Linked DNA regions of Tribolium castaneum. Each later gene encodes a partner of the first gene's protein in a complex. Links are inferred from orthologs where the notes say so. Each region holds a gene or a part of one and is shown in the gene's direction. Other genes may lie near its edges.

Region 1 (8,354 bases):
TAAGGTCACTTGTTTGTTAAGGCGAGTCATACAACTAACTACAACATTTAAAAATCAAGATACGAGAATGAGTGCGTATTTCAATTTCCCCTCACATGGTACAAGAGCCCAAATGAGTCAATGGGGAATTACCACCACACAGGTCACAGACCGTTAAAAAATTGGAAAAATCTGTTACAAATTCTATTTCTACACAAAAATCATCAAGAAAATTTAAGAATTAACAAATAAATGTGGAAGTAAATACAGTCGAACTTCGATAAGACGAATTTTTTTGGCAAACCCTGAATCAAAATTTGCCTTTCTAAAAGTCGAATTGTGCCTCCACCATTTATATTTTAAAAATAATGACTTTTTTGCATATTTTTTGTACTCGTAGAATAACATAAAAAAAATTTTGCAGCAAACTATGTATGTAATGTCAAATTACTTTCTTGTAGTAAAATATGTAGTTTTTTTATTCCAATACTTATTAAAACATTTTCTATTACTTTTGTAAATTTACATTTGCATCTTAAGTTTTTTTTATTTTAGTTATTTTTGATAATACGAATTTTCGATGATATTTTGCTGCCAACTGCCTATTCGAGTTATACTGAAGTTCAACTGTAATATAACCAATTTTTTTCTATCATTATGTGGAAATTATTTATTCACCGTGTAAGAGGAAAAATAAAATTTGCTCAAATAAGTTTCTTCGTAGAAAGATTCTAATTAAAATAGACAAGTTGCCAAAAATAAAATGACCAGAAAATGTAGTTGGTATAAAAATAATAAAAACGGTTTACTTGTATTTCGTTCAAAACTGCACAGATGTGTGATTATTATTAAAAAATATTACAATGTAAAATCAAAATTCTTTTTTTGGACAGTAGTTTTTTGAAATTTTATGCGAAAAACAATTCTCCATCCAGAGCAAGTCGCAGGTGAAATTGTTTTAGAAATGCACTGAAGTATGGATGCAAATGTGGTGACAAACATAGAAACCATAGAAAATTCTGTCCAGTGGTGAGGAATAACTTTTCAATAACACCTTCCACAGCTTTTTATTCTAACAAATGTTTGAAAGACGTAACTAATAAAATAAAATTAATCACAATAAAAATAGCTATTTGTATGTAAAAATTGTAGAAAAAACAGGATCTAAAGCATGCAGCACGATAATACGTGAGGTTCATAAAAACAGACATTTTTTGTAATTATTCCAAAGTCTAACCAATTGATTTTCCCATGTATTTAGTCTCTAAGTCTGATTTTGCAAAAGTAAAGATGCTATCATCAACATAAAGTGTATTTTCTTAGAAAGTCCTGTTGAATTAGGTCGGAATAATCGAAAGAATAAAATTTTACTAATACTTAATTCCTGTTTAAAGTAGGCTTTATTGCTTAACTTTGGTACAAATTAGTCAAACAATGTCGAAATTAGAAGTTTTTTCAACATTTTGACAAATTTTGGAAATTGTTGCAGCCTGCTTTTTTTTAGGATAAATTAACTAAAATACGAGTAAATACCAATCTCTTCCTTTTTCTCAAAAAGAACTATCCATTCAGAAACTACCGTAAAGAGTTGTTCTTTTTCAGAAAATCAAATAAAAAAATTCCAAAAGTAATTTAGCTCTCCAACCACAAACCAAATCATAATGGGTTAGAAAATCTAACAAAAAAATTTCATGTTGATGTAACATTTAAAACAAAGCAAAAGTTTTTAAATTAATAATTAGGTAATTATTATACAAATCCCGTTACTGTTTGTGCAAAAAATAAACGTTTTCTTTATTTAGTGAGGTAATCTATCAGCTTACAAAATAGTTTAAAGAGATAAGACAGCAAAAGTACTCGCATTTTACGAATATTATTTAGTTTATTGCTATAACGTTACCATAAATGTTGTTTATTAACAATAAAGTTTTAGCTGTGACAATCTGTAGATTTTGAAAATGTTCTTATGTTTATCATACAAATGAAGAAGGTATTTGTTCATATTTAAGATTGTTTCTTGTTATTGTTATTAGCAGAATTTGATAAACGAATTTTGTGAATTCAGTCTGGGAAAGATCTGCAGCTTATCGTTTGGTGAATGAATTCGGATTTTGAACCCAATGTTTATGGACTCATCAACTGGGGAATTCGCAGTAGAGAAATATTAGAAAATCCCGGGCAAGCAAGCAGGCTACTGTATGGTTAATGTTGGAGTGTTATCCAATTTAAAATATTAACTTTGCGGGTTTGGCGGCTCATTCAGTAATTAAAAGTAAATAAACACAGATAAGATAAGTGGCACTTACTATTTTGGTTCAGTGGTAGTATTTCATTCATCAAATTAAAAAGTAACATGAGTAGGAGAGAATGAGCACCTTTCCGCCCTTGGATAATTGTGCAGTTACGTATCTTGCGGTAAATGAGATAAAGTACGGATGCAAAACGGTTCCCTGATTATGAGAAAGTAATCATTTGGATGCTGGTTTTAAAAATAAGTCGGTTCGAGTGGGAAATAGTTTCGGTGGAGATTATGCAGGCTGTGGGCCCTCCGAGCGCAGCCTTTCATTCATTAGTTTTTGTAATAGACGTGTGGGTGTGGAAAACTATTACAAAAATAAATTGCGAAGTGAACGTACCCGATACAACGTATCCCAAGTAAACATTCATGAACAGTGCAAGTATGAATGGAACCATTGATTACTTTACAATGAATGATCATGTATAAGTTATGACATCAACAGATAAGGCAATGTGAATTGAATAAGCAGATTGAGAGAAATTGTGTGCTTGCACTCGTTTGGCCAGCAATTGACTCGGTTTCCTTCCAAATATGATCAGTAAGAAAATGATGGCCGACTTAACATCCCCATAGCCCATCCCCATAATTGAGGGTTAAATATTGTACTCACTCCTCAAATGACTCGGTCATGATTTGTCGTGTGAAATATCCTAACGTTGAAAGTCCATGTTTTGTTTGACAACCACATTTTTGCACAACATCAAATCCAACTAAACAACACGGGGACAATCCATTGAACTAAATTAACGTTTGTCAGTTAGTCTGACATCTAATCTACTGCGCGCATGAGCGAAAAAGTGCGCCGATTTGATCCACTACGAGTTCGAAAAAAGGCGCCAAGAGCAAAAGACCATTTACTCTTTTCAAAATAGTCCATTAGTTCATTGCTTAAAGAATTATCTTTACGTTTGTAAAAAAATACGCCTTTCTGATTACACAAATTTATTAAAAAAATAATATTTTGCATCAACAAAAAATATCAACAATAAAAAGCAACCAGTTATACACTTTTTCCAAAAATTTATCATGAAAAAAGTTCAGTGGTAAATTATAAGTTATAATTATAACCTTTGTCACTGTTTTAAAACTATAAATAGTAACTTAATATCTTCAACAATATTAAAAAAAAACAGTAAAATTTAATGATTTTAGTTAAATCTTAAGCTTCTAGGCATACAACAGTCTCACACTTTTTTTTAACATTTTTTTTAACTTGACTTTAAGGCAAAACTAAAGATAAAATAAGATAAAGATATATCTAAGCGAGACCATATCCTTGTTTTAAAAGATTTTCAAAGTCGCTCAAGCAAGGGATTTGCTTCATAAACCGGAGATCAAGTATTGCAAAGTTAATTTATAGTTAAACATTGCAGATAGAAATATGATGTCGCCAACTTTTTTTGTAGAAAAATTAATTTTCTACATCTCTGTTTTTTACACTTTTTTTGTATCCTCAACCGTAGTACAAACAATGCGTAAATTTTAAATTAAAATTTTTTTTTTTTGAAAATGTTGCACAAAACTTGAACCACTATTTCCAAAAGTAGCTGTTGTGCATCATAATTAGGTAATTAAAAAGTTAAATCAAAGGTAATTAAACATTTTTACAACAACAAAAAATTTTTTGTTAATTTTTGGCGGGAAATATCCAGCATTCGGGTGAGCGAAATTTCGGCCACAATTTCTCTTCGTTTTACCAACTTTTGGCCACATTTAACCGCAACAAGCGTAAATAACATAAAAGCCAGTAAAGCAAACAATGAATCAATTTAATTTATTAATTAAAGTGTGTTATTTTATACAAAATTACATAAAACGAAGTGTTGACATTTTCGATATAAAAACTATTCGATAGAGCGCCCGATTCTGCGCAGTGAATTTTCGGTTGCACATGACTGAAGCGCTTGAAAAAGGAACAGAAAGAAATGAAAAATAGTAATGGTGGTGGCAGTTAGTGGTTGTGTTGTTGGATTTTGATTTAATTTAAATTTCTGAAGCAAAATTGATCATCCAGTTTGAAATCCCAAGATGGGAAAACGCAAAAATCAAGCTTTGATTGACAGTGATTCGAGCAATGATTCAACTAGCGATTTGGACTCTGTAAGTGCAATTTTCCATCCGAAAAAATTCTAACCTCTATCACACAATTTCAATTTTCATCCTCAATTCACTATTTTTTTGTATAAATATTGATTGAACTGCCACAGTTGTTGTTTGGCTTAATTACGCGCTAGTTGGAGCTATTTTTGAATAGTTGTTGAGTTGTTTTTTGGCCATAGGAATTTTTGAATTTGGCGAAGAAAAAGAACAGGAAGAAGAAATCGCCAAGGTCTAACTCGGATTCGGAATACGAGGGCAAATCTGACAGTGATGAGGGTCGAAATAACAAGAAACCCAAACGAGATGAGTCCTCTGACTCCGAATTTGAAAAGAAAGAGGAGGCGAAAAATAACTCAGAGCCTGAGGAAGGTGAAGTCTCAGACTCTTCAATATCTGATGAAGAATATAACGACGGGTATGACGACCAACTTATGGGCGATGAAGAAGACAGAGCCCGCTTAGCCAGTTTAACTGAGAAAGAACGAGAAACGGAAATTTTCAAAAGAATCGAGCAACGAGAATTGATGAAAACGCGGTACGTTTTTGTGTAAGAATTGTTAAATTTTTGTTAAATCATGCTTTGTACAGATTTGAGATTGAGAAAAAGTTGAGACAGGCGAAGAAAGCGGAAAGGGCACGGGAGAAACCTCACAAGCACAAAGACAAAGAGAAGAGCAGGGACCACAGTAAACTCCAAACCGATTTCAGTTCAATAGACCACAAGGAACGTAGCAAAGAGCGGAAGAAAAACATTGAGGAAAATCGCGGCAAAGTTGACAAACGTGTCAACGCCATGGCCGAACTCAAAGCCAGAAGAGAAGACAAGCAAAAGCGGGAAGAAGCCGAAGAAAAACGCAAGGAAGAACAGAGGAAGAAGGAAGAGGAAGACGCTCTGCACACAAACAAGAGCAACGTAAAGTTAAAGGCGTCAGATATTTATTCAGATGACAGCGAAAGTGAAGGTAATTCAACTCAAAATTGCCACTTTCGTTTTACCGTTTTTTGACTCTTCTGTAACTTTTCGTTTAATAATGTTTTTTTGTTTTGTAAATTTAGGTTTTTTACAGGAGGTAAAAGTTCACCTCAGCCACCAAGACAATCTGTGGGGTCTGTCAGATCCCGCTCTTCGTCTAGTTCAAGTTCGAGTGATAATGAACAAGAAGAAGAGGAAAAACCCGCTTATGTACCTACGAAACTTGACATGAATAATATTCGGTTGTCGAGACATAAATTAGAAAGATTTGTACATATGCCGTTCTTTGATCGTATTGTTAAAGGATGTTACGTAAAAATCGGTATTGGGCAACATAATAATATGCCTGTTTATCGGGTGGCCGAAGTCACAAATGTTTATGAAACTGCCAAGATTTACAATTTGGGAAACACCAGAACAAACAAGGTACTTGTTAATTACCTTAACGGGTACAATAGCAAAATGATAATTCCGGAAATACTTTTTCTAATAGGTTTTGCGAATATTTTATTCATATAAACTTAAAGCAACAGTATCTTACAAATTTTAAATTTTCTTTAGAAGCTGATACACGTTTGAAAATTGATTTATTTGTTCTTATAAACACAGCTTGTGTCAGACGTATTTACGAAGTTAGTTAACTATCTTGGTAAATTTTCCAAGGTGGATTATATCTTTAAGCGCTTAAAGTTACTACGAATATTTTTGATCTATGATCGGGTCACAAAGTCTTTATTCTTTTTAATATTTTAATTTAACAATGCGGATATATGAGAGATTCATAAAACTAAAAGATAAACCTAAGGTAGTTGCATAAAAAATACTTCTTTACAATTAAGTTTTCAAAATAAAAAGTTGGAAGTTATGAAGTCACTTTTGCTTCTTTTTTTCAATTTTCTTTTATAAATAGTACGTATTCACAAATTTTAACTACACAGTGCCCGGAATTTGGTGAAAATTTGTTATAAACAGTCAATGAAATATTTTTACTCTTACTATCCTTGAATGTTTTCAAGCACGATTTTCATTCACAATCGGCAAATCATTATATTCATTATTTGTCTCTAAATTATTTTTTTTATTTTTTAAATCGCTGATTTCCTGTGTTTATGTTTCCTAACTCTTTCAATTGATAGTGAGTTTTTGAGCATTGAATTCAAGAAAAACCAATGTAGCAAAATTTATCTTATAAATATATTTATAAATTTACTACAAAAAAAATATACAAATACAAAACTGCTTCAAATACGAAAAACAAAAGACAGAATTAATTCTTCGGAAAAACTAAAAAAATATAATATCTAAGTTTTTTGTAAAATACTTCCATGTTAACATTTGAATGTTGCTGTTAGGGATTGCGTGTACGACACGGAAATCAGGAGCGAGTTTTCCGCCTAGAATTTGTATCCAATCAAGAATTCACCGAGACTGAGTATCACAAGTGGATAGAGGCCAGCACAGCTGCTAGTAATCCTTTACCCACAAAAGAACACATTGAACAGAAACAAGCCGACATAAAAGAAGCCTTAAATTACGAATTTAACGAACAGGATATTGAACGAATTGTAAATAAAACCCAACAATTTATTTTGGGTCCTTGTAACTTTCTGTTGTTAGATACGCGAAAAAGAGCGGTTCAAGCCAAACCCCCACAATTATGCAATGCGCAAAACCCAACTAATGAAAGAAAGAGACTCAGCCCTGGCTCGCGGGGCTGAAGATTTGGCGAGAGAATTAACCCAAAGGATCTCTGATTTGGAAGAAAGGGCGTCAGAGTTGGACAAAATGAGAACATCGACCATTTCAAGTATTTCATACATCAACGACCGGAACAGGAAACGCAACGTTGAAGAGGCCGAAAAGGCGATTATGGCCGAAGTTAAAGCAAACAAAGGCAAAAAGGTTTGATTCGATTAGATTTCGCAATATTTTTTATTTTACAATTTGTGACTATTAGATCGATGACCCGTTCACAAGACGCTCGACAAAACCAAGAATGAATTTCAAGGCAGCTCCTGAAGAGAAAGCCGAAGTAGTGGTTGAGAAAAAGCCAGAGAAGGTTGCAGTGGAAGTGGAAAACCCGAAAGTAGCAGCGCAGCCGGCTCAAGTTACTCAGGACGATCTCTTCTCAGCTCATGACTTTGATATTAAAATTGACTTAGATGTTCCTTTACCAGGTACTAGTTATTGCCATCATTTTGAAATTACGTTGGCAATACTATTATCACAACTACTGATGTTTTAGAAACAGTAGTTTTTCGAATTGTTCGATGGACAATCGAAACAATCGCTCAATAACAACCTTATGGACAGTCTTCCAAAAATATAAATTATTTTTCACTTGACGAATTCAAATAATCAAAATTTTTTTTCCATCGCTTTTAAAAATAAGGTAGAGAGTTTGTGTTTGATTAATTAAAGAAACAGATACTAGGCCAATAAAAATTCCTTCCATATTTTTCAGAAAGCTGCAAATACTTTAAAGATACACGTTCAAGAAAAATGTAAAAATAAATTTAAAAAAAGAAAAGAATTAAAGAATTAAATTACCTACAAATTAATGAGACTCTATCGTAAACTGTTTAGTCTTCAAAGACGATTATAGCCGTTCAAGTGATTGTTTCGTTTTTTGTGACCGGTCATTTAGTGCCGAAGAAACATTTTACAAGACATTTTAAACCTAAAGGTTGAAGATAGAAATATATTATCTCCGGACTTGTTTAAAGACAACTGAATTTTCTACAATTTTGTCCTTTAACACCCTTTCTCTGTCTTTAACTACGAAAATAGGGGGCGGTAAAACTATGAATCATAAACTTTGGCGTGGACGTTTTATTTTTAGTCGTGTTGTCGCAAGAAATCAACAATTCTTTAGAGATGAATCTGAATTTTTCATCTTTTATTTCTTAATTATTAATCTTAATTAATTAGTTAATTAGTTCATGTCTTGATTCAATTACCACAAAAACAAATCGTTCTGAACGAATGGTGTAAAAAACAAAG
Region 2 (8,276 bases), on another chromosome or scaffold:
TGGTTTACTCTTATGTTACATAAATGAGAGTGTGATGTAAATGTTTGAGAAACGATTCAGAGGAGATTCAGATCGGGAGCCCATCACAAACCGGTCCAATTTTTCAGGAAAACTGTGCTCTTAAAAGGCGAAATTTTTCTAGGAAAAGCCGTATCAATATTTTACCTTCAACGAGAAATGCCTGATCCTAATTGTAGCAAACATTCTTGAAATCTTTTGTGCGCGAACTCGATGCTTGAAGAAAGTACAAAATTATCGAAAAAACACCCAGTGAACCTGTATCTATCTAATACGGATGTTGCTGTAATTTTATGAGATTGTAGAAAGTGAGATTTCCCTTGACACTGTTATAATTTATCATTGGTCTTAACGGTTGTCTAATTGGACGATTGTCTGGATGGTATGTGTATGAACCATCCGGTCCATATGGTCCTGTCAAAATTCGACACGTTTTGAATAATTCGTAGAATTGTGTTTGGTTAAGCAACTGGTGATTGATTTTTACAGCCATAAATCATAAGTCTACGTTGCCTGTAGCAGGTCTGTGGGAATGATTGAATAACATTGACAGTGATTAGGTGTTGCATGGGTTGGTCATGGGAGCTGGTGCGAGCGAAGGTAAGAACAGCAGCAACAAATTATGGTACTAGAAAAGTAAAATCTGTTTTTTTTTGTAAATTTTTTCAATAAGAGATAAAATTAAGAAAATACAATTATGTAATTAGTGTCTTCTACAAAAAACAATTTCAAGTTATTCTATACGTTCTCATTTTGAAGCTACCAACAATTGTATTACACTAGAAACCATTAAATTTTGATTAATTTTTTAATACTTAATTAACTTAATTAATCGGAATTTGGTTATTTCTAATGTTATTCTAAAAAACACGGATGATGTTTTGAGTAAACAATTCTTAATAAAATTGTAACATGCTTCTAAATTACGTGTATTTGAAGTTTCAAATTTCTCAAAGGCCCAGTTTCTGGCATGATTATTAAGTAAGTTAAATTTGATCGCTCCGTTAGTTGCTAAGGTTTATAAGTTTATAAGATTGGTGTTGTTATATTTAACTGCGGTTTAAATTTTTCTTTACGTCATTTATGTTACGGGAAACTGGGCCTTAATTAATTACTTTGTGTGGATGTATAAAAAATATAAATATTAAATGTTCTTGCAGTGATTTATTATTTAATAAATTTTAGTTTAACTTATACGAATTATAGAAAAATATAGCACTTTCTCTTAAAGTTAGTGGTTCAACAAATTAACAGTTAATGTAATTTATAGTTTCAATGAAAGATCTAATCATTAATAACTATTTTACATTTTTATCTTCCTTATTAAAAAATATTTGGAAAAATGCGACGTTGGTCTTTACATACGAGTACTTTTGAAACAGCCAATATGTAATTTGAGACGTAAAAATACATAGTACAGTAAAACCTCTCAGCAATGGACACCGATGGGGAATCTTTAATTGTCTGTTGTGGAGAGGTGTCTACTAATAAGAAGTGGACAATGTTAATGTAAATAAATATATATTCTTTTTTTAATAAAAATCAAATGGCTGTAACTGTGACAGGAATGAGACAAAGTAACCACATAATTCAAAAAGAGCATCATTTAATCTACCAAACATATCTAATCAAATTTAAATCAGCAGCAAAAGTATATTTTACAGAAAATATTTTACTAGAAGCAGATTTCTTGTATAACTTAAGTATGTATATTAAATAGGTTAAATAAGTTTTGTATAGCTTTAAGTGAATTTAATTCTTTCAATTTTTTGATCATGTTGATAACTGTATAAGATTTATAACAGTCAACGTTTTGATCTTAAATTTTTTGTTATTGTTAGATATATATGTGTTTTAACAAAAAAACTTTTGAAATTAAAACTAAAACATTGAAAAAAATAAACAATTTTTTGTTTATCCACGTCCACGTCCGCTATACAGAGGGTCCGTTGCAGCCAGTTTTTTTTTAAATTATTTTGCAATAGTTTTGATACGTTCCTACAAAATGTCCGTTCTAAAGAGGTGTCCGTTATTCTGAGGTAGGTTTTACTTTTTATTGTACTAAGTAATTTTATCAGAAAGATGAAGCAATAAAAAAATGTACCTATTATTAAATACACTAGAAATATGTATGTTAATTACCATTAAAAAAATAAAAAATTGGAATAAAGTCAAAATAAAATAAATACAAAATGAATACGGAGAATAAGATGTTTTCCTGATTTCGATTTGCTTTTTTAATTCATAATTAGGTATTTATTAACAAAAATGAAGACTATTTTAGAGATTATTATTATAATAAAATAAATTTTAAACGATTTTCAATCTCTTTAATTTTAGGGATTTTAGGAATTACAATAAAAAAAATTAAAAAAAAAATGTTAATTTATTTTGTGGCATCTTAAAATTAGATAAACTAACATTCAACAATTTTGTCTTCGTAATGTGATGTAATGTAAATTCTATAATTTTTAAAGTCTAAAGTATAGTGTTGTTAATACCTAATTGTTTACTTTTTTGTATATTTAGAAACAAAACTTCATATTGAATAAATGCTTTTTGGATAAATATTTTACTTTATAGTTATCTTATGTTAAGACATCTATTTTTTTAAATTTTAATTAATAATTTGTTAATAATTACCCAGATTTTATGGAAGTAACAGTTTTGCTTTAATGTTTTAATAAGTTTTATGTAGTGAGCCACTTTTTCACTTTTTTCAATTACCTATGCAGAGTCAACAGGGTGAGTCAATAGTGGGTTATTTCTGAATTTCTATAAATATGCAACTAATGTTTTCAACTTCATCAAAACGCTGGAAATACGGTTGAAGATACAAAAAAAGATGTAAAGAACAAAGTTCCTTTTGTAGTTTAGTTAAAAATTAACTGTCTGTTACTTGAACACCGGTAAAATAAAACGAATTCGTCGTCAGCATCTTTGAACGTCTTTAGGGTCTAAACCGTTGATAAAGATATGGTCTCGCGGACTCTTTTTAAAGAAAATTTAATTCTCTACAAATTTTTTTGTAACATTTTTCTTATAACTGTGTCCATATTCGTAGCGTCTTGAAAAATACGGGATAAAGCGCAGATAGATTTTAAATTAAAAATTTTTTTTTTCAAGTTTCTTATGAAAATTTTTGTCGTCATTTTTTTTTCAGTGTGTTAAGAAGACAAAACTTAACATTTATGCATGTTTTTCCAAGTACAGACTGATCCAGAAATACTGAGTCTGTTGGCAACACTGAACTTAAATTTTTAAGGATACCAATGGACTACGCTTCCTGTTAACAACAATGTAATGTTCTTATGGGGCTGTACGTCAAATAATTGTCAAAAAAATCGAATTCGGTTACAATTTTGCAAAGTACAAGCATAAATACTTTCAAATCTGTTGCTAACAAACTCAGTATTTCTAGATCAGTCTGTATTTAGTAAATTGGTTAGATTTATTAAATTAATTTAAAACGATTTGATGCCCAGTGGGCATAACGCTCGAAGCGCCCTCATTTTTTCTCCGCCGTACTATTTTTTTGATTTCAGAAAATCCTGCAATTTTTTGTGTTGTTCCGTCTTTTATGTTATAGTCCTTCGTACTTCACACCCACATGGTTTTATTAAATGCTAATTTCATACGAATAAGCCATTTTTCAGTATTTCAATGTTCGATTTATTTTAATAAATGTATGCAACTAATAAAACAGCAGCTTGGGATAAAGTTTTTCAGGTGTCGACTGGTGGCAGCATTGGGCTCAAAAGTAGTGCAGTAAACAAAAATGGCGGACCCTTTGAGTTTGCTTCGCCAATATAATGTGAATAAAAAAGAAATAATCGAACGCGAAGGCCAGATAATATTCGGGGAATTTTCCTGGCCGAAAAATGTGAAAACCAATTATTTAATGTGGGGGTAAGTACCGTTCCAAGCCGCCTCCGCAACCCACCCTTCCATCTGTTGACAAGCTAACCTCAAAATGCAATGAAAAATTTCTAGTTCTGGCAAAGACGGAACCCCTAAGGAATACTACACGTTGGAATGTTTGTTGTTTATTTTGAAAAATGTATCACTGACTCATCCTGTATATGTGCGACAAGCCGCTGCTGAGAATATACCAGTAGTGAGAAGACCTGACAGAAAGGAACTCTTGGCTTATCTAAATGGCGAAACGGCGAGTTGTCCTGCGATTGATAAAAGTGCTCCTCTTGAAATACCCACACAGGTTTGTTTTTTGTGTGAAAACGCGGCTTTTTATGTACAATTATTTCTTTGTAGGTCAAAAGATCTGCTGACTATGAAGGGCCTGAAAGTATTGCAAAAAAGCCCCGGTTTGAGGACTTGCATGTGCAAAAAGTTAGGGAGAAGTTGGCCGCCCGACTCGATGCCCCTAAAGAGGCTTCAGTCACTGTTGATAATATCAAGTAATTTACTTGCTTTCTACAAATGAGAAACAATTTTTAACTGACGATTTCTAGATCATTGTCTGAAGCCATGTCTGTGGAAAAAATTGCAGCGATTAAAGCCAAGCGTTTGGCAAAGAAACGAACCACAATTAAAGGCAATGATGATATAGGGCAAGAGTACGACATTCGGGCTATTCTTGACTTGGATGTGGACTTGACCAAAGACATTATCAGTCGTGAGAGACAGTGGAGGACCAGAACTACAATTCTGCAATCTAATGGCAAGGTAAGAATTTGGCAAATTCTTGCAATTTTAATTTTAAGTTCGATAAACTAATAAGATCTTATCACTAAACTGCATTGTTTTTTATTTTTATTTAGAGGTTTAGTTTAGTCAGATTTCGCAAAACAGAGCCAGAAAATCTTTTTCAAGCATTTTCCAGCCATGAACGCAATTCAAAAATAAGCCGGAAAGACTACCAAATTATGTTGGATGTTATTTTTATACCCGTTTAAGCACTAAAAAGGCAGTTTTTTTGACTAAAAGAATGTTATTTACCCCCCTTTCGGGTATTACGCACATTTTTAAGCGCCAATAGAAAACAATGCTATTTTTTGACTGAAAGTTCAATCCTATTATTTCCAAGTTGTTGTTTGGTGGGAACAAAGAATACTAAATTATGCCGAAAACGACACGATTTGTTATCTTTTTGAGCCTTTGTGACCAGTTGTTAAATCAAAATCTTGTCAAAAATATCGGGTGATTCAAAAATATGTGGCATAATTTTAACCACGAATACCCCTCTAAAATTAAGAATAGATAGGATAGTATTTACTGACCCACACAAAAAATAGGAAAATTACAATTTTTCAGAAATTGGTATGGGAAATGGTTTTTTGAAAACATTTTTGTTACCGTTCATGCGATTATTATGAAATTTTGTATGCCAAGAGACACAAAGACGCTCTATGATATGGTGTAAATGGAAATCTTGTAAAAGCTATACATTTTCGGTGACAAGGGGGCCCTTCCAGTTTTTAGGTGGTAACTCAATTTTTCGGCCTATAAACACGTATTTTTGATATCAAAAATCAAAAGCTCAATTATTTTTTAATAAAAAAGGAACTCTTGCTTCATATCGCCAAAATGTACCGTTCTCGAGTTATTTGGGATTAAACTAAACTCTATACCGCAGTGCAGAATAAAAAAGTATAAATTTTGAGCGTACCATTACCTTGGAAACTGTCTACTAAGAATGACACAGCTGTCATTGCTGTCACATTTGATGTCAATTTCATTTAATCTAAAGTAAAGTTTGATTATTTCTTGATGATAATAGTTAAAGACACGATTATGTGTTGGAAGAAATAATCTATGAGCTAGCGGTAGCCGTCCCGGCATCACAACTTGATCTGATGCCACACCACCAGAAAACGATTATCCCTCCAAATCGCTGTTTTTATCAATATTTCAATACTTGCATTATAAAACTATCTATAACCCAAATAAAGGATTAAAACAATCAGAGACCAAAACACAACCTCAACTGTAACAAATCACAAAATAAAATCTTATCAACTATTTGTAATGCCACTATTGCAATTTTTCTTTAATAGTAAGTTAATTTAATCCACAGGTTGTTGAAACCTGCAAAGAATAACGCACGGTTTAACGTTTATTTACATTTTTAAAAATTACAAGAACTTCAACAACAATAAGCATGAAAGCAACAAATGCCGCTAGCGCGCTAGCTGGCGCCTGTGGTATTTTTCGTAAGCGCGAAAAACAAATCATGAAGTCATAACGATAAAAAAATTCTTTTAGTATTTGGAAATGATGCCCTGATCAGCCCATACTGGTAAATCTAGTTAAAAAAATGATCCAGGTTATTGTTGTTTAAAAAAAGAACATTGACTTCATCATTCATATTTTCTTTGATATTCGCGCTTATGAAAAATAGCACTGGCGCCAATTAGCACGCTGGCGGCATTTGTTGCTTTTGTGCTCATTGTTGTCGAAGCTCTTGTAATTTTCAAAAATGTAAATAAACATTAAGCCGTGCATTATTCTTTTGTGGATCAAATTAACTTCCTATTAAAGAAAAATTGCAACAATGGCATTACAAATAGTTGATAAGATTTTATTTTGTGATTTGTTACAGTTGAGGTTGTGTTTTGGTCTCTGATCGTTTTAATTCTTCATTTGGATTATAGTTTTATAATGCAAGTAGTGAAGTATTGATAAAACCAGCAATTTGGAGTTTATTTCTTCCAACACATAATCATGTCTTTTACTATTATCATCAAGAAATAATCAAAATTTACTTTGGATTAAATGAAATTGACATCAAATGTGACAGCATTGACAGCTGTATCACTCGTAGTGAACTGTTTCCAAGGTAATAGTACGCTCAAAATTTATACTTTTCTATTCTGCAGTGCAGTGTAGAGTTTAGTTTAATCCCAAATAACTAGAGAACGGTACAGTTTGACGACATGAAGCAAGAGTACCTTTTTTATTAAAAAATAATTGGGCTTTTGATTTTTGATATCAAAAATACGTGTTTATAGGCCGAAAAATTGAGTTATCACCTAAAAACTGGAAGGGCCCCCTTGTCACCGGAAATGTATAGCTTTTACAAGATTTCCATTTACACCATATCAAAGAGCGTCTTTGTGTCTCTTGGCATACAAAATTTCATAATAATCGCATGAACGGTAACAAAAATGTTTTCAAAAAACCATTTCCCATACCAATTTCTGAAAAATTGTAATTTTCCTATTTTTTGTGTGGATCAGTAAATACTATCCTATCTATTCTTAATTGTAGAGGGGTGTTCGTGGTTAAAATTATGCCACATATTTTTGAATCACCCGATACATCTTTTCCAAGCTTAATTCTAAACTATGAAATTCCCTTTAAAAGTGAAATTGATTTGTCCTATATTTTAGTCATTTTGTATTAAAATTTTTGCTTTTTCGATCGTTTTATCAGAATTTTCAGACGTAATTATAAAAAGATTATTGAGGAAACTATTAAGTTATGACGGATTTGCTGTTATTTTTTGTCGTTTTTATGCACGTTTTTAATAAATAAATAAAAATAAAGATTATTGTAAATATAAAGATAAATTTACAAAAGGGAACAGTTGGTAGTATAAATTGAAACATTGCTAAATATTGCACAATATTTCACAATAAGACATCATTAATTTTGTTTCTAAACTACTTAGGTAACATCTGTAAAATGTCGGGGCAAAATATGAAAATCTGCTTTTATATTTATTTGTATGATGTTAAGGAATACAAATATAACGAATTATTTCTAACATTGACATTATGAATATCACTTTTGCGAATTAACAAATTAAACAGATACGCAGGTTTTTTAATCTTGAGAAGATGTTACAGAAGCATTATGTATAAACTTCTAGTTCATTAAGCTCTTTAAATTCATTAATTTCTCCCAGAAAATGTCCAAGTAAGGTTTTGGTTATTGAAATTCAGTTGTTGATTATTTTCAATGAAAGATCGCTATCTAACTGTTCCGATTATTGTAGATAAGATTTTCTTTGAATTTAGAATTAGACCGTGTTTTGTTTGTGGATATAACTGTTAATGTTGCTTAAATTGTTATTTATAAACTTTATACGGGCTGTTTATAAAATAATGTAGGATCTCAGGTGGTTCTGGAATTTGAATTTGCCGCATTTGATTTTTTATTTTTATGATATTTGTGAAAAGTACCAATTTTTTCGTGTACTTAATAGAAATTTATAACATTGATTAACCCAAAATAATTAAGAAAAGTGACACTTTTCTTGTTAGCAACACTTTTCATGTTAACGACTGTTGTAT
Region 3 (8,478 bases), on another chromosome or scaffold:
CCAAGTATCTGGTAAGTGTAATAGTATTTTTTTCGATGAGACTAATTTTTTTAGGTTTTAAAATCGTATTCAATGTCAGTAATCCTGAAGGTGGCAGAGTTCAATCGGTAAAAACCAGTTGCAGAGAATGTGCCGACCCTATTTACGAAAATCTTGTTTTGGAGAAATATTATCGAGTTTTCTTGCCAACTTTCCTAACTGATACCGATTTCAATCCACTTTTTAAGAAATACATAAGAAATAAAATAATTGGTGATCGGGACTCAGACGTTTATGTGAGATACTTGGGAAAACATTCTCCATTATGGGCAAGAGTTGAGGATAGGATTAAAATTGTGTCGTAGAAGTTGTTAATTTTTTATTTGTAAAAATTAAAAATCAATAAATAAAACTTAACAGTTAACCACTTTTAAAGTCCTTCAAGCGCATATGTTGGTGTTGGTCACGTCTTTTCGGTTGATCAAATAATACTTTTTTAATGTTTTGAAACGGCATTTCAATCAAAAGAACAAGCAAAAAGGAACACAATATGATAACTATGGTTTCAACAACCTCAAGCTAAAAGACACGATGTTTTCAAAGACATTTAATAAATTATAACTTACTTGTAAATATGTGCGGTATTCGTCAACATGTTTTGTCAACCCCACATTATAGAAAAAAATTGGAAATTGCACCAAATACAAGGCGTAAGCCAGTTTTGTTGAAATTTGAAAATATTTCCAATTAAACAACGTTCCCAACCAGCCTAAAAGAATAGTTTCTGAACCGCATTTGTTTTAATTTGTGAACAACCTGCAATATCTCTATTTATGGCATAAATTCCAAATGCTACACTGGAGCCCCAAAAAATCGGATATAAAGCAAGCACATACGAGGCTTCCAATTTATCATAAACATAGTCTTTTGTGACCATATGGTACGGTCCTAGCCAAGCACCGAGAAACATTGGTAGGAAAAAGCACCACAAAAATGCAACTTGCCACTAAAAATTTCATTAAATAATTACTTAACGAAACGTATACGTCAAGTACCTTAGTGAAAGAAGTGTTTGGTTTAGAACATTTTAATAAATAAGCCAGGTAAACACCTATTAAATAAATAGTTGCTCGATGAGTTGGTAAAATGTATGATAAACTAGCCACTGAAAACATTTTTGAAACTCTGAAATAAAAAATATTGTTCCATAATTTTCCTAAATATAAGCAAGTGTTTCATTACGAGATGCCGAAGTAAACGACGCTCGTCAATTCATGTTCGTACGAAACCCAAAATCTAAGTATTGTTGAAAGTAGGGCCACAACTCCCATAAAGAATAATCCAATTCGTTTAAATGTCCAGATCAAATAAACAAAAACTGGTGTAACTAAAAACAGCTGCATGTCAATACCTAGCTGGTGCGTGTGAGTCAAACACTGAAACTGTTTAGTTAAGTACACGTTTAGCAATAATGTGGTATTTACCATATTTTCAAAACCGAAGTAATTGTGGATGAAAAAAATATTCTTCCACATGTGCTGCTTGCATAGTGTTGAATGGTGATCGACGACGACAGGCCATAACGGCCCGGAGCCCATCAAGGGTAATATGTACGTACAAAATAAAATTAGGGCAATTACGTTTGGAAGAATTCTGAAAAAAAATTAAATTGGAACTTCTGCGCAGGTGCTAGGGATTTTTTATTATTTTAATTTTTTTTTTAAAGATTTGACTCAAACATTTTAAAACGGTTACCAATAAGTAATTAGAGCAGAAGATATCATTTTAATGAAATATGACATTTTCCAAATTTAAGTTCTGAAAATAAGTTAAATCATTTAAGAACAGGGAATGATGACAATTAAGAAATATTGACTTTGATAATTTAAAAAATCTTAGTGTTAACGTATTTTGGGCAAAAATATAAAATTTCTCATTTTGCTAATCAGTTGTAAATATTTCCAGTTCTGTCAAAATTTATTGTTACCTAAGTAACACAAGTTGGTGCCAGCCGGCTCTGGGTGTTGGGCGTGGGTGATCACAAAGAACTATAAACCGAAGTTATTGGGCGCCACTAGTTGTATAACCCCAACTAGAGGGGAAAAAAAAAGAAAGGAAAGAAAAAGGGGTTTCCCCGAAATTAAATTTTAATGGATTAAAATATTATATAACAAAGATTTAAAAAATGTAGGAAATTAAAAATTATTAAAGAAATAAAAAATACTATTCTATCTACGCTGGACAAGTAGACAGGAGAAAAGTGATTCTCTTATACCGATCACGTGCTCGGAATATTATTCTTTGTCGGCCGCAAACTCATAGATCTATGTTTTGTGACTGATATCGATAAGCGCAAAATTAATAACCGAATCTACCAACCGATATGTCCAGAGACGATTTACAACGAAATTATATATATTAAATTACAAAATGAGATCAGCAATATTACCTTTGATCGTGAGGCGATCAAACAAAAAAAATTGGAAGAAAGAGAACACACGAGACAGCAAAAAGGCTCGAGGTTAGGGGGTTCCGGCGCGTCCGTAATTAACAAAGGCTTGCCTGACCGTCTTTTCGATGAGGGGCTCCCTCAGAGGTAGCTGTTGACCTCGCAGATGGCGGGTTTGGTGATAACGGCGAAGGACCACGTCCGGAACGAGAGATGATGGGATGTTAGGTCCCCTCGAAGGTTTTACTCCCCCCCAATTTGAAGCCTTTAAATCGAAATACACACTGAACCAAGAAAACAAAGAAAAGGGCTCATCAGAATCAATTCGGTACCTTTGATGTTGGGCGGCTTCCTCGTGTTAGCAAAAGAATTTTGTCCTGCGAATCCGACTATTCGGCTACGGCGATGGTGCGAGCATTTACCACGAAAATCTTAGTGAAGCTGCACTCACAACGAATCACTCCATACGATACTTAAATTTTCACACTCGATGACCGCAAATCTCCACAATAATGTGAGATGATCTAAAATCTGCTCACTCGAGATGACTCCCACAACGGAGCTAGGACAAAAGTGCTAGAACGATTTCCGTTCGGAGTTTTAAAGAACGAGACTCAGAAAAAAAGTGAAACGGAAACGAAAATTTAAAATTTACGCGCTAAACAGAAGATAAGAGGAAAACTAGGGAGTTTAGAAAGGTAACTAAGATTGACAATTACAGGTTAGATTCAAATTCAAAACAGATAAGAAAATGTAAACAATGACATGGGCAATTAAACTAAGGCCCCCATAGCCCACATGGGAACCCCTAGGGCAGGCAAAAGGAAATAAGGAGGCTATCCGGCCCTAACGGATAGCATTTCCGACGATTTTCCCAACTAAGTTATCAAGGTACCAACCTACGGTTTTAACCAGAAACATTTTCAGGACAGTGGGCACTAAAAGGCTGCGACATTCAAGTTTGCCCACAACTGAATGCGGGACGCACCGAGCCACATATAAGGAAGAAAAAAAACATTTCTTTGTAAGGTTGACAAAAAAGCGGACATCACAGAAGGAACAGGAACATTGACGCTCCGACGTCAGCCGTTCACTCTGACGCCGTTAAGGGCATTAAAATTACACCCTGACCCGCCCTTCTAAGTCAGGGTGGATTTTCCAAACGTAACATATTTCAGAAATTATTTGCCTTCCTCATTCAAGCGTAGCAGTAGAAAAAAAAATTTCTACAAAAGATTTAAATAAAATCAAAAATTGCAAATAAACTTTTAGTAGAAACATTAAGAAGTATTAATAATTTGCATTTAAAAATGTTACGAAAGATGAGAGTTGTTTTAACTGTAAAATTGATTCCGCTTTATTAAAAAAATGAACAACGCAATATATCTAAAATGTTAATTTTTTTATATCTGCAGTAAAATTATTTAAAGTAGTTAGTTAATAATAAGTGTAATTAATTGTTTACTTTCTTTTTAATCTTATTATTATTATTTATTATATACGAATTTTAGTTCTAGGAGTTTTCTACCATTTACTGTTATATTAATTAAATATTGTGTAATTAATTTATTTTGGAGTATATTATTGTTATTAATAATATGTAAATTATGTTTTATTTATTATATTATTTATAGTAGATATTATAATTGTTAAATTAAAAAAAATTAAATATACTTTTGTTGCTTATGCAACCCAATATACACCTAAGTGGAAACTGCAATGTAGGGACTTTTGAATAAACATCTAGGGATTACAAACAATTTCACCTGGCGACACTGTTTCGTATGTTTTGACAACTGTGCGTGTATAAGTTGTAAATTTATTGAAATAGCTTGAAAATATTTTTATTAAGTTAGAAAATTTGGTGTATATTTTACAATGCCTCCAACGATACAAAATGGAACTTCCACGCAAGAAAAACGGCCTGTTAAACCAGCAGAAAAAAAGTGAATATGGTTATGAAATTTTAACAAACAGGTTAAAAATGGGGCTGTTTTAGGTCCGACTTGATATGCAGGGTGAAATATTGCAACACGCTGCCTGATATCCCGTTTGATTTGAAATTTATCTCATACCCGTTTGATTCATCAAGGTAGGGCTGTTTTAAATGTTTGTGGTCGCCTGATGTGTTGTTTCAGGTTTATACAATTTAATCCAACCTCGTTGGAGAGAAATTATCGGTATGAAGTGCTCACTGAACATGATTTGGGCGTTGCCATTGACTTGATTAACAAAGATATTTACGCTGTGGAACCAGGTGCTATGCTTGATCCAGCTGATGAGAAACTCCTAGAAGAAGATATCCTAACACCTCAAGACTCGAAAAGGTCCAGACACCATGCAAGATCTGTCTCTTGGCTTCGCAGGACTGAATACATTTCAACAGAACAGACTCGATTCCAGCCACAAAGTATGGATAAAGTCGAAGCGAAAGTTGGCTACAGTATTAAGAAGAATTTGAAGAATGAAACATTGTACATGGACCGTGATTCACAAATCAAGGCTATTGAGAAAACGTTCAGTGATACAACGAATCCGATTGAAAAGCATTACAGCAAGCCGAATGTGACTGCTGTTGAAGTATTGCCAGTGTTTCCCGATTTCAATCTGTGGAAATATCCATGTGCTCAGGTTATTTTTGATTCAGATCCAGCGCCTGTTGGTAAACAAGTGCCCGCGCAGATTGAGGAAATGTCACAAGCTATGATCAGGTAAGAATTAAATTTTGACTAAGAAGCTATTTTCTGTACCCAAAAAAAATTAATGATACGGCTGTAAATTGTTTTGCAAAAAAAGCAGGAACGTTGGGCATCAAATTCTTTACAAGTTAAAAAAATATATCAAAAAATGTGCTCTGTTCCATATTTTTCAAACCGCTGTGAAAAAAAGAAGATGAAAGAAAGAATTATAAAATTAAATTTGCTACAAAACTTGCTATTAAAATTGAATTATGTAATAGTTATTAATAATACTAGAGCGAAAACACAAGTTTAAAGTTCGAGGGCTGTCGTTATGCAACGAGCGTATGCGAGAACTTTAAGGGTCTTCGTATGAGTGTTATTCAAATTTTTTATCATTGTCATTTTATCACAAGGACAACATGCCAACAACTTTAAAATCCTCTAGCATATTTAAAATCCTCCATCGTTTAGACTATTAACTTTTTTTACTCAACCAGAAATATTTATTTACTAAACTGAATTTTAATTTTAATTAATTAAAATTAAAAATAAGTTAGTCCAATATGTTATTAATAAGTTAAGAATACGATGGAAAAACAATGAATGTCGCATTTTACACGTTTTGAGAAAAACAGTTTAAAGATCAAGTAATAACTTTGTGTGATAATTTTTTTTTCAGAGGTGTGATGGACGAACGTGGCGAACAATTCGTCGCCTACTTCCTCCCAACTGAAGAGACTCTAGTTAAAAGACGGGAAGACTTTGCTAACGAGATACCATACCAAGACGATGAAGAATATGAGTATAAAATGGCAAGAGAATACAACTGGAACGTGAAGAGTAAAGCAAGCAAAGGTTACGAAGAAAATTACTTCTTCGTAATCAGACAAGATGGTGCCTACTATAATGAGCTAGAAACCCGTGTCAGATTGAGTAAACGTCGCCAGAAAGTTGGCCAACCTGCCAGCAACACCCGTCTTATCGTCAAACACCGACCAATGGATGCGAACGAATTCCGAATGCAAAGATACCGCGAAAAACAACTCGAACCTGCAGGCGATGAAGACGAAGAAATGGAAATGGAACAAAACGAAGAACCACAAGAAAACGAAAGTAATTTTTCGTATTTGATTTTAAAATTTGTATTAATTGTATTTTTTAGAAGAAAGCGACGCGGAATCGTCAAGATCCAAATCACCGTCACGTTCAAGATCTCCGTCTAGATCCCGATCACAGTCTAAATCTCCCTCACGGTCCAGATCCAGATCCAAATCGCGATCAAGATCCAGATCCAAATCGCGGTCAAGATCCAGATCAAAATCTGCGTCTAGATCCAGATCACGTTCACGCTCGGCTTCCGGATCGCGATCTCCTTCCAAATCGCCGTCACGATCCAGATCCGGATCCAAATCACGATCACCATCACGTTCCAAATCACGGAGTAAATCACCGTCCAGATCCAGATCCGGATCGCGGTCAAGATCCGGATCCCGATCTGGATCCGAATCCGGCAGCAAGTCGGACAGTGATTGAACCACTAACGTTTTATTTAAGTGTCAAGTCATTGTTTATTGGATTTAGATGTAAATATGGTTTAATAAACAATACCTGAATATCCTGTTGATTAATTTTTCCTTGAATTTCATCGCACGGCCATTGTGTAAGTCGGTAAGTAAAGCGTTCGCGTTTAGTAATCCACTTATAAGCATGAAGACATCTGTATAAACAATCGCGTTTTTTGCAATAATTGTCCAAGGTCGGCTCACTCTCTGCAAAAGTAGGTAAAGAAAATTTTTGACGTGGTTTTATTTACATCAACTGCAGCTGTTCGGTTCATATAAGGGTTGAAAAATAGCGAAACGCTTTTATGGGACATGAGTAAAGCCAAAGCATTGAGGAAACGAATGCCGTGTAAGCCAGCTATTTCGCTGCGATCGTTTTCTTTCACTTCGAAAAATTTTGACACGTTTTCGCGCAATGAAAAACACTGCAGTATTTTCATGAATATTCCTGTAATTAACTAATAAAAAAATTGTAATCGAGACAAGAAATTACCATTTGTGTGCGCAACGCCTTTACCGTCTCTATAATAATCGACCAAAGTTGACGAAACCACTAATAGAACGACACAAATAAAAAATAATCTGGAAATAATAAATATCGATTCGTATTAGACTAATAAACATCAATGAAATTACTTAAACTAATTGTTTATCTGCATCTACAATGTGTTTTATAAAAACAATTAACTGCAAAAGATACAGCCACCCAAAATGAAAATGACGCGTCCATAAGTGAGCCTTGCAGCTGAAGCTTTATATGATTTGTTTCGCTCGATTTTGGTCGTTTTTGAGCGATTTTTTTTCAAAAATAAGCCAAAGAACTATAAAGTTACGTAAAAAATGTGTAATTTTATATTTTTCAAGCATATTTCTTCTGAGAAAGAGTAAAAAACTACTGGTTTTATATCTTCTAGCACTAAACAAATGTTTACATTATTATTAAAATAATGTGATTTCATATGGTTTACAACCAGTAAAGTAATCACTCAAAATAAAAAAAAAATTAAAAGCTATGTGAATTGTGCGATTTTAAAATTTTTAAACACATTTTTGATATAAAAACAAAGTTTTTTTTTAGAAAACTGGCTGCAGCAGAGACGTGAAAATTGATTATCTCAACAAGAGATATTGTATAAAAACTTGTAATAAATTTTGATTAAAAGTAATCTTCTTTCTGTCTTTCTTGGACTTTCACCGCATTGTAGACCTAAAATCTGTTTTTTTCTGTAATCTCACTAAAAGAGAATAAAAAAGCACAAATTTAGACCCAAAATTATTGTATCTTTGCCTTCTTTTGAGCACGTTTCTTGGTTAGAAACGTAATTGTTTTGCAAAATTTCATTAAAAACAAACCGAAAAGTCACCCATTTGCATTAAAATGTAGATGTTAAGTCTTGTTCGAGACTTATTGTTGAGGTAAAAACTAAGTTCTTTCGAAAAATTTTGTTAAAATGAACTGATGGGAATTAATATTAATTTTGTTATTTCAGCCAATTTGAAATTCATTTCAGTTATTCAGTTTCTTGGCTAAATAAACCGAACTGAAAAATCACCTATAAATGGCTCAAAACTCAAAAACATTTTTTCAATTTTTTTGTTTATTATCACGTTTTTTTTCGGTAAAAATTGTCACGAGTAAGCCAAAGAATAGTCTAAAAAATTAATTCATTTGCATTTTTGTTCAATATTTTAAACAAAATGTAATGAAAAACTGTTGATTTATTTATGGTATCGGTCATAGACGTCATTTTCATTTTAGGTGAATGTACCTGGCAATGTAGTCCCCTCTGGTTAAATCTTTACTCTC

Evidence for each region.
Region 2: Rtf1 (region 1) and hyx share a complex: the UniProt entries of both Caenorhabditis elegans proteins name them as parts of the PAF1 complex. The link is inferred for Tribolium castaneum from reciprocal best matches to the Caenorhabditis elegans genes rtfo-1 and cdc-73.
Region 3: Rtf1 (region 1) and atms share a complex: the UniProt entries of both Caenorhabditis elegans proteins name them as parts of the PAF1 complex. The link is inferred for Tribolium castaneum from reciprocal best matches to the Caenorhabditis elegans genes rtfo-1 and pafo-1.

What each region holds. Positions count from the first base shown.
Region 1 is NC_087394.1:33,110,901-33,119,254, forward strand, and holds the start of Rtf1 (RNA polymerase-associated protein Rtf1), read left to right. Parts: upstream 1-4,186; 5' UTR 4,187-4,306; coding exon 4,307-4,378; intron 4,379-4,557; coding exon 4,558-4,913; intron 4,914-4,966; coding exon 4,967-5,340; intron 5,341-5,445; coding exon 5,446-5,777; intron 5,778-6,703; coding exon 6,704-6,916; intron 6,917-6,968; coding exon 6,969-7,253; intron 7,254-7,308; coding exon 7,309-7,528; intron 7,529-8,354. UniProt on the Caenorhabditis elegans protein: Component of the PAF1 complex which is a multifunctional complex involved in transcription initiation via genetic interactions with TATA-binding proteins, elongation and transcription-coupled histone modification.
Region 2 is NC_087400.1:8,948,568-8,956,843, reverse strand, and holds the start of hyx (parafibromin), read left to right. Parts: upstream 1-3,755; 5' UTR 3,756-3,796; coding exon 3,797-3,927; intron 3,928-4,011; coding exon 4,012-4,237; intron 4,238-4,290; coding exon 4,291-4,436; intron 4,437-4,490; coding exon 4,491-4,704; intron 4,705-8,276. UniProt on the Caenorhabditis elegans protein: Component of the PAF1 complex which is a multifunctional complex involved in transcription initiation via genetic interactions with TATA-binding proteins, elongation and transcription-coupled histone modification.
Region 3 is NC_087397.1:9,418,060-9,426,537, reverse strand, and holds atms (RNA polymerase II-associated factor 1 homolog), read left to right. Parts: upstream 1-4,184; 5' UTR 4,185-4,306; coding exon 4,307-4,374; intron 4,375-4,427; coding exon 4,428-4,520; intron 4,521-4,566; coding exon 4,567-5,139; intron 5,140-5,788; coding exon 5,789-6,222; intron 6,223-6,271; coding exon 6,272-6,642; 3' UTR 6,643-6,717; downstream 6,718-8,478. Other genes in the region: uncharacterized protein LOC661310, read left to right, coding at 1-11, 55-344; regulator of hypoxia-inducible factor 1, read right to left, coding at 400-558, 606-748, 796-985, 1,035-1,164, 1,222-1,421, 1,464-1,632, 6,718-6,878, 6,923-7,119 and 2 more. UniProt on the Caenorhabditis elegans protein: Component of the PAF1 complex which is a multifunctional complex involved in transcription initiation via genetic interactions with TATA-binding proteins, elongation and transcription-coupled histone modification.